Linked DNA regions of Yarrowia lipolytica. The protein of the gene in region 1 interacts with the protein of each later gene in a pairwise test. Links are inferred from orthologs where the notes say so. Each region holds a gene or a part of one and is shown in the gene's direction. Other genes may lie near its edges.

The links.
Region 2: the proteins of YALI1_B17908g (region 1) and YALI1_D04969g interact in binary tests that used the Saccharomyces cerevisiae proteins (3 or more experiments, as listed by UniProt). The link is inferred for Yarrowia lipolytica from reciprocal best matches to the Saccharomyces cerevisiae genes UTP21 and UTP25.

The regions. Positions count from the first base shown.
Region 1 is NC_090771.1:1,787,438-1,792,635, reverse strand, and holds YALI1_B17908g (uncharacterized protein), read left to right. Parts: upstream 1-1,673; coding exon 1,674-1,772; intron 1,773-1,822; coding exon 1,823-4,603; downstream 4,604-5,198. UniProt on the Saccharomyces cerevisiae protein: Involved in nucleolar processing of pre-18S ribosomal RNA and ribosome assembly.
Region 2 is NC_090773.1:494,292-498,523, reverse strand, and holds YALI1_D04969g (uncharacterized protein), read left to right. Parts: upstream 1-1,585; coding exon 1,586-3,598; downstream 3,599-4,232. Other genes in the region: YALI1_D04978g (uncharacterized protein), read right to left, coding at 1-627; YALI1_D04936g (uncharacterized protein), read right to left, coding at 4,104-4,205. UniProt on the Saccharomyces cerevisiae protein: DEAD-box RNA helicase-like protein required for pre-18S rRNA processing, specifically at sites A0, A1, and A2.

The DNA.
Region 1 (5,198 bases):
ATTGACGACGTGGAGATGGACGAGTCCGAGGGCTCGTACGAGGATGCGGGGGCCGAGGCCGACACGGTCGGAGACGGTTCTGAACATTTTTCCACGGGGGGGGGTGTGGTGGGTGGTGTGAAGATGTGTGAGAGGTAGACCCGATGTCGACGAGATCAGCTTTAGGGTTCAGACTAATGCTGCGCTCGACAATTGGGAATATCGAAGCAATGATTCTGGGGTGGAGTTTGGATGACAAGGAGAGGGGGTAGAAAGATGAAAAAAAAAGAAATCGATTTCAAAGGAAGTTTTACAGCGATTGACCTTTTAAGATCCGACATCGGTCTCTGGTAAAACAACTTTTAATACTCCCGTTTGTGCTGTTCGCTGCTTATGGTTTTGGCTAACACCAGATGCATAGGCAGCGTGGTGCAGCGAGCCATTCTACTGGACTGGAGCTACAAGCAGCTGATTGGGAAATGTTCTCTGGCTGTTTTTGGAGTGGTAAAATTGATTAGACCACTTGTAGTTATTCTTTTGTTTTATGAGTGAGTGACGTATACTCTTGGCAAGCCACCCCCATCTGAGTTCTTCCGGTTATCTACTGTACGATACCGTCTCCACAGCTCGATCGTCTATGCAGCAGCTTCGCCTTGTTTGGTGGGTTGATATAGCATAGCACAGAAGACCTTAAGCCGATATATACTGGGTGATATCGACAGATTGAGATATAGAATGACCAATTCTCAGTCTGTCTCCAATTCAATAAACTCCCACCTACTATAATACCCCACAATAGTGGCTTTACAGTCCCCTCAATCTACTCCATTGTATCTATCCACGTGCTCGCTATTGTGGAGCCAAAGTTTCGTTGCCGCTCACATGCAAAGAAGACAGACGTATCGTGAGCGCAAGGCCAAATGTTACAGTGGTGTAGAAGGAGGGCTCTATATAGACAGTGTCGGCATCTCAAGTTGCTGGGTCGCACACATCCCGTTGTTATTAATCGTTTCCACCAGTCGTTCCAATTTGGATCTTCCGATATAGTTTTGCACGTCTTACTTAGAAGTAATTGTTACGAGCACACTTGTAGTGAGACAGAGCACTGTAAGTACCATACAGTATGATATACAGTATGTACTTATTTGTACTTTGAGTGCTCTATGTGCTACTTGTAGAATATATATATTATATAATATATATATATATATATATTATATATATAAAGCCTTTCGGATGTTTCAGAGTCGAGTGTCCACTACTGATGCTAACAATGCTACAGAGCTGCACAAAGAGGAGCATTATTTTATTTTATTTTATTTTATTGTATTTTATAAACACCACCACAAGTAGTACTTATTTTTATAGTACGTACGTACATTTTTCATAGACAGTCCTTCAAGTACCAACTAAAAATCCAACAAAAATTTCCCTTCACTTGAAACCGAACTCTATCGCCCAACTTGAAAATATAAACAGAACCAGTTATTTCCACTATCACTAAAAAAGAACACGAAGAATACTCTCGGTATACTTCTACTATCATTTCTGCATCTCATCCTAACTTCTTACATATCCTCATATACTGTACAGATTATGACCCATCCAAATAAACTTCTGGCATGCACGACCCAAATATTTTTTTCCAAGCTGCATCACACAAATCATAGCGTTCCGACACCCGCTCTAAAACGATGCCTGCGATTGAAAAAAAGCGAAGAGTGGAGTCTGACGAGGTCACTGTGCGTGACAGACTTGTCGGAACCCCCTCTAAGATCTTCACGCCTTTCAGAGTGAGTACTACACCCCCATCACTACACCCAACATCACCAAACTAACACAGACTATTGGACATGTTGCCAACTCCACACCTATTTCCGTGTCATCTTTCGGCCGAAACTTCCTGGTTGCATGCAGTGTGGGCCGAGCCGTTCAGATCTACGATGTTTCGACGCTCCATCTCATGTTTGTAACCTCTCCTCAGACCCCCGCGCCCATCCAGTCGCTTCATTTCCACCGACCCTACGTTTATGCCACCTGGGACAACTGTATTGGCGTCTACTTCCGTGGTAAGCTACTGTACAAGCTGGAGTGCGACACCAAGGACAAGCTAGTGTGTGTGCGATCTTTCGGAGAGAACCTGGTGGCCATCAACAGCTCACAGATCTTTGTCTTCAAGCGAGGCCAGAAGAAGGAGGAGCAGTCTGACGACGAGGACGAGGAGGAAGATAGAGACGAGCTGGACCCTCCGTTTGAGTATTACACCACCGTGACTCTCGCCAACTCTGTGGGAGCTGCGCACTCCATCATCCATCCCCCCACCTACCTCAACAAGATTGTGGTGGCAACTCGACGGTCTCTATTGCTGGTGAATATTCGAACAGGCAAAGTTGTTTTCTCCACCAACGAGATTGGATCTGACGACGAGATCACCGCCATTGTTGACGCTCCCGTTGTGAACTACATTGGAGTGGGAACTGCATCCGGAAAGGTGCACGTCTACAACCTCAAGCTGGGTGAGCGACTCATGGCCTTTCACACCGGCTCGCGGGTCAACTGCTTGTCGTTCCGGTCGGACTCCTTTGCCCATCTGGGTGTCGGAACCGCCTCCGGAGATGCTTTCTTCTTTGACCTCAATTCCCAGAAACGTCTCCACGTGCTGAGAGAGACTCACGAGGAGAGTGAGGGAGGAATCACATCGCTGGTCTTCCTGCCCGGAATGCCAGCTTTCCTCACATGCGGTGGAGATAACTCTCTGCGAGAATGGGTGTTTGATCCAGTCATGTCGGAGTCCAACAAAACAGTCATTGCACCTCCGCGAGCCCTCAGACACCGAGCTGGTCACAGTGCGCCCCCCACATCGATCAAGTTTGTTGACGAAGAGGCCCATTTTCTGGTCTCAGCCTCCGGAGACGCGTCCATGTGGCGCTTCTCGCTCCGAAAGGATGCTCAGAACCAGGAATTCTCACAGGTGTCCAAGCTCACGGAGGAGCAGAAGAACAACCCTTTCGCCAGCAAAACTCGAGCTGCCGGACCCTCTAAAAAGATGCGTGTCAAACTTCCTCCTGTCACTTCTCTAGCCCAGACTTCGCTTAGACAGCAGGAATGGGACTCGATTCTGACAACTCACAAGGGCGAGAACTGGGCACAGACTTGGGACGGACACCGAGGACGAGTTGGAGCTCACAGATTGCCCACTTCAGATGGTGGCATCGCACAGACTGTGACTGTGACTCAGTGTGGTAACTTTGGTGTGGTTGGATCTGCTACTGGATCCGTTGACATTTTTAACCTGCAGTCAGGCATCCTGCGACGCAAGCTACAGGGTACCCCCAAGAAGAAGGCCATCACAGGCATCGTGGTTGATTCGCTGAACCGAGAAGTCATCACGACTTCTCTGGACCGAAAGGTGCGATTCAACGACTTCCACACTGGTAAGCTGCTCGAGACTGTGACCCTCGCTGCTCCTATCACCAAGCTGGTTCTGCATGACTCGTCAGATCTCATTGCTTGTGCTCTGGACGACTTCTCCGTCGTGGTCATCGACACCATCACCAAGCGAGTGGTTCGAGTTCTGGAGGGCCGACACGCCAACCAAATCACCGACATTTGTTTTTCTCCCGATGCAAAGTGGGTTATTTCAGCATCTCTCGACTCGACCATCTGCACCTGGGATCTGCTGACTGGAGCCTGTATCGATGTTATTCGACTCGACACTGTAGCTACAAACGTCGAGATGAGCAGAAACGGCGACTGGCTAGCCACAGCTCACGTGACCGGAAACGGTGTGTGTTTGTGGTCCAACCGGGGCCAGTTTGTAGACATTTCGTCTGCTCCTGCTCCCGAGATTGAGTCTTCTGAGGTTGCCCAGATTGATGCCGTCGGCTCTCTGGCTCAATCCTCGGTTGTGGATGGTGCCTTTGAGGAGACCGAGACAGAGGATCAGAGTCTGGCTGCTTCGATTGCCCAGATCGAGGAGTCTCTGCTGACCCTGTCTCTTGCTCCCTCCTCCAAGATGAACACTCTTGTGCATTTGGACACCATCAAGATGCGAAACAAGCCCAAGGAGGCCCCCAAGGCTCCTGAGCAGGCTCCTTTCTTCCTACAGCTTACCGGTGCCGACAAGAAGCCCGAGGAGGCTACTTCATGCCCCGATGGACTTGTCCCCTCTAATTTCGATGCTATTGGAGAATCTGCATTTTCTCGTCTTCTCCGAGAGGCTGCTCAGTCCGGCGAGTACCATGAGTTCATTGACCATCTGGCGGGTATGTCTCCTGCCCAGACCGATCTCGAGATCCGATCTCTCAACTCCTGGGCTCCATACACCGAGCTGATTGCGTTTGTGGACGCCATGGCAGCTGTTCTAGAGAAGCGAACCAACTACGAGTTGGGCCAGGCATGGATGAACATGTTCTTGCGCTGCCATGGAGACGTTATCATGTCTGCTCTCAACCCTAAGATTGTTGAGGACGAAGAGGAGGACGAGGTTCAGCAGCAGCCCTGTGAGCCTCTGAAGGGGTCGTTGACCAGATGGAAGGAGCTCAACCAGCACGAGTCCAACAGAATGGAGGATATTGTCAAGTACTGCCAGGGAGTCATCAACTATCTGCGAGTTGGATACTAAGCAGAACCCATAAGGGCTGTTTGGGTGGAAAATGTTAGAATAATGCATGTTTTTGGATACTGGAGTAGAGATATGATGAGAAGGTGTCACAGTACACCATACAGTAGGTATAGCAAAGGTAACAGTAATGATAGACATTGTTACTTCCAAGTTCAAGCGTAGTTATCCTTCATCTACAAGGTAGTATGATACCGCGCTTGTAGTTACTGTAGACCACGTTTACAACAAGCACTCGAATTACGTGACCAAAGCAGCCAATACACAGTTCAGTTGATAATACGTCTTGTAGTATAATGTACCTTTGTAGGCAGAAGTTCATGGTATCCTGACTGAACTTGTACTACTTGTAGAGTGTATACTTGTACAGCACTATAATATTACGTCATGCGCCACACAGCCACTGTGAAATATGCAGCAAAGGAACCACAAGCATTGTATGAGAAGACACCAGTACTTATAGTGATGACAGGTGAAGGGTACGATGCGGCACAGAGAATAGCAGAATGAACCAAATAGCTTATATTAGGGTCATTATTAATCACTGTCTTTTCCCCCTATCGAGAACGTTTCGAGAGCCGTCTCAACTATGTCGTCC
Region 2 (4,232 bases), on another chromosome or scaffold:
CGACGACTCCAGCGAAGAGCCCTTGCGCGAAATGACACCGTAGCTGCTGAGGCAGAAGCCCAGCGTCAGCACCATGCCGGCAAGAGTGCCGGTGCTTAGATCCACCGAGTCCGTGGCAATGTAGATGCGGTAGAGATTGTATGCGGTGGCGGAAATGACGCAGCCCGCGGAAATGAGCAGGACAATTTCCCACGAATCGCTCTTGCGGTGCACGAGCCACTTGGACACCTGGCCAATGGTCTGAATGAACAGCAACGTGCAGAAGCCCTCGAGAATGTTGAAGAAGGGCGCGGAGCTCTGCATGAGCGCATCCCAGGGCATGACCAGCCGCTGCAGCGCCACAGGCTCATTGTTGTTGGCGGTATTGAGACTCAGGTAGAAGATGAGCAGCGCCGGAATGAGAATGGTATGCAGATAGTAGAGAATCTGCGCGACATGTCTCAGCTTGGTACGGCCACTAAGTATGCGGAAGGTGGACAAAATGAAATACGATACCACCAGCGTGAAGGAGAAGGCCAGGCCGCAAAACCGCCCCCCAATGTCAAACGACAGTGGGATTGTGATCATCACCAGCGTCAGGTGGATCAGCGAGTATGCTGCTCGAAACAGCGTTAGTATTGTGATCATAGGGAAAAGAGAACAGAACGGGGTTCTGGAGTTTGTGTGATTGGCGTGTTTGTGTTTGTGTTCACCAATTGTCTTGTTTCGGGTTGAGCCGTGGAGCTGTCGTCTATCACCGTCTGTGTCTATCGTCTCACTGTGTCGCTTCTATCACTACAGCCGAGGTATCAGGTCGCGGGCGAGGCAATGTGATGGGTCGTTTTGTGTCAGATTGTAGGGAGTTGCCAGGTTTCCGATTGCTTTGGTTTCGCTTCAACCGGCTTTTGTTTTGCGCTCGGCTAATCTCTCGCTCGGGTGTCTGTCTAACACTACTTGTAGTCTGTGATTGAGCTGACGCGTATGGCAAGCCCTGGCACAATAATCCAAATTCCAAATTTGCACACCCAACCGTATTGAGATAAGCTTTATTTTTAGTCAGCTCGGGTGGTAGAGATACCACGGAAGTAGTGGTGTGCTGTTGTTGTCAGGACACGTTAAGTGGGACGATTGAGTCGAATTGTCTTCCAATAAGATCTCTTTTCAGCCTAACTACCTCGGAGACTGCCCTTTCTCCTCTTATATGGACGCTCGGGTCTCTTTATTTTAGTCAGGGCTCGGGCTGAGACACAGTTAATTTTATGTGCATCTCCATACAGCGGGGACAGGGTGCAGGTTCAGAATGTGCTGGTACTGTACTCACACGAGTACAAGGGGGCTTGTGATTGTTTGAGGAGCCGAAATTATTGTGGTGCCAGATGATCGGCTCATTTAACGGTGCGCTAGAAGCGGGGTAACATCGTTATTATTACCCTTAGTCTGGACCCAGATGAGATCTATGGGTACAGCAGAAGGGGGTGCGATACGGGTATACGTACGTACATACAAGTACAAGTAGTGTCTGGCTGATGCTGCTCCCTCTGAGGGACAGCCTCCGTCGTGTCTTTCGCCGAGTCTCCGTTCGAATCCTGGTTGCGTTCATTTACGCATGTTGATAAAAAAATATTTTAGGCTTCTGGAATATGCAGTGGGAAAAATATCTGAGGATCAGAATATCTTACTCATACACGCAAGAATGGCTCGATCTCACAAAGTGACCAAACCCAAGCGCCAGCAGGTCGACACATCGGGGTCGTACAACGCCCTGATGGTGCTGATGGGCGACAATGTCAAAAAGGCTGAAAAACGGGTTGAGGAAGAGGAGCCGGTGGAGCAGGAGCTGGAGGAGGACGATATTGAAGGTGCTGGAGAGGAAGAAGAGGAGGTCGACGAGGAGCAAGAGGAAGAAGAGGATGCTGATGACGCCGAGGAGGACGCTGAAGATGATTCCGAGACCGACAAATACGATCCATACAAACTGCATTTCGAGGCTGAGGAAGCCAAGTACGTTTCTGTCATCAAGTCTGAGGAGTGGAAAACCTCGTCGGAGAAGACCAAGATTGGTAGCCAGCCCGTTCGAATCACATACACAAATCTGGAGGATGCCGACGAGCTGTTGGACTTTTCCGAAGCCCAAAAAACCGAGTTTAGCAAGTACACAGTTCGGCCCCGGATCAAGGATGGCTTCAAGCAGCTCAACGGGTCTCTGACGTCGGTACAAAAGGCCATTTACCCTTCACTCATGGCCTACCGGGATCTGTGCTACGCCACCTCGAGTCTCAGTGATACCGAGGAGTTTTCGCGGCTAGTGGCCATGCATATTGCTCAGCATGTTGTTCGAACGGCTGAAGAGGTGGCATACAACACACGTATTTTGAAACGAAACGCCGAGGAGGGAATCCACGACGTTGAGTTCCGGGATCAGGGATACACAAAGCCACGAGTGCTGGTGCTAGTGCCCACAAAGAACGCCTGTTTCGAGTTCATGCAACTACTGGTTGGCGCTTCAGGAGTCGATAGAGAAGATAACAAGGCGCGGTTTAACAAGGCGTTCCACGAGGCTGGCGCTGTGCTCGACACCAAGCCCGAGGACTTCCAGAAGGCCTTCAAGGGCAACACTGACGACATGTTCTGTCTGGGCGTCAAGCTACGAAACAAGAGCATCCGGTACTACTCGTACTTTTACCAGGCTGACATAGTATTTGCGTCTCCTCTGGGTCTCAAAACGCTTGTGGGCAGTGAGGGTGACTCCAAGCGGGAGTTTGATTTCCTGTCGTCCATCGAGATCGCCTACTTGCATGAAACCAACCACATGGAGATGCAGAGCTGGGACAATGTGTTGACGGTGCTGGGCCAGACTAACTTGCTACCCAACGAATCTCATGGCTGTGATTTTAGCCGAGTCAAGAGCTTCTATCTTGACGGACTAGCCAAGCACTTCCGACAGACCATTGTCGCCTGCCAGTTTGTCACTCCAACCATCAACTCTGTCTTTTCCAACACAGTCAACTTTGCGGGCAAGACCAAGATCACTCCAATCTACAACGGAGAGCTAGCAGTGGCAGGCATGAAGATCCGCCAGATTTTCACCCGGTTCAAGGCTCTGTCTGTGTCCGATGAAATCGATGCCCGATTCAAGGCCTTTGTGCAAATCACGCTTGAGGGTATGATTCGCTCGGGAGACTACTCCGGAACTCTCATCTACGTGCCCACCTACGTCGAACTTGTGCGTCTCAGAAACTACATGGACGAGAAGAACATTTCTTTTGGTGCCATCAGTGAATATTCTTCCATCACCGAGGTCAAACGACACCGAACGCTCTTCCGAGACGGCCGAGAAAAGATTCTGCTGTACACGGGACGTCTCCATCACTACCGACGATACTTTGTCAAGGGAGTCAAGTCGGTAGTTATCTATAAACTCCCTGAGAACCCGGCCTTTTACAGAGAGCTACTGCTGTTTCTGACCCACTCGGTCGATGAGGGAACGCTCGAGCAGTCTATGGCAAAGTGCAGAGCCCTGTTTACCATTTACGACCTGTTGGCCTTGGAGAGAATTGTGGGAACGAAGAGAGTGAAGACAATGGCAAAGAGCGGAGAGAGCAGTTATGAGTTTTATTAAACACATAACTCCCAGACCGAAGCTGCTTATACACCTAATGACGGATTCTGATCTCACTCATTTCTTTCCCGGGTAGCTCACTCTCTACAATCTCTTTTAAGACCACATATATAGACACTAATAAAGATACAACTGGTCGAGATCATGCGTGTACCCACTGTAACTTGTGAGAGAGCTACTGTATTTATATGTCCTTCGTTTCACACACGGCTAAACATGAGACTTTTCGGTATAGCACTCATGGGTTGTAGACACGATCCGTTTGATATAAGAATGCAACTATCATGTTCTTCTCGTATGATCTACTTGTAGTTAAGGTACTCTCAACTCCTCGTATCCGTTCTTCTCAGAAAAAAGGTCCTGCCTGTCCATTTGCACACCACAAACAAAGCCTCTTCTCTAACAGATAACCACTGCTTTTTAAAAAGTCTCATTTCTATATATCCACCATTGCTTATTTCTCTATTTTGCCATCTGTCGATGGATGTTAGTTGTAAGTTGCTGACTACTCAATCAACTTGCTGACGGCCATGGCGATGCAGCACAGGGACACGTACGGACTGAGTCGTTCGCCAATTCGGGCTGCTTTCCAGAAGATGCCGAGGGGTCTGTGTTAGTACGGGGGTGGATGGAA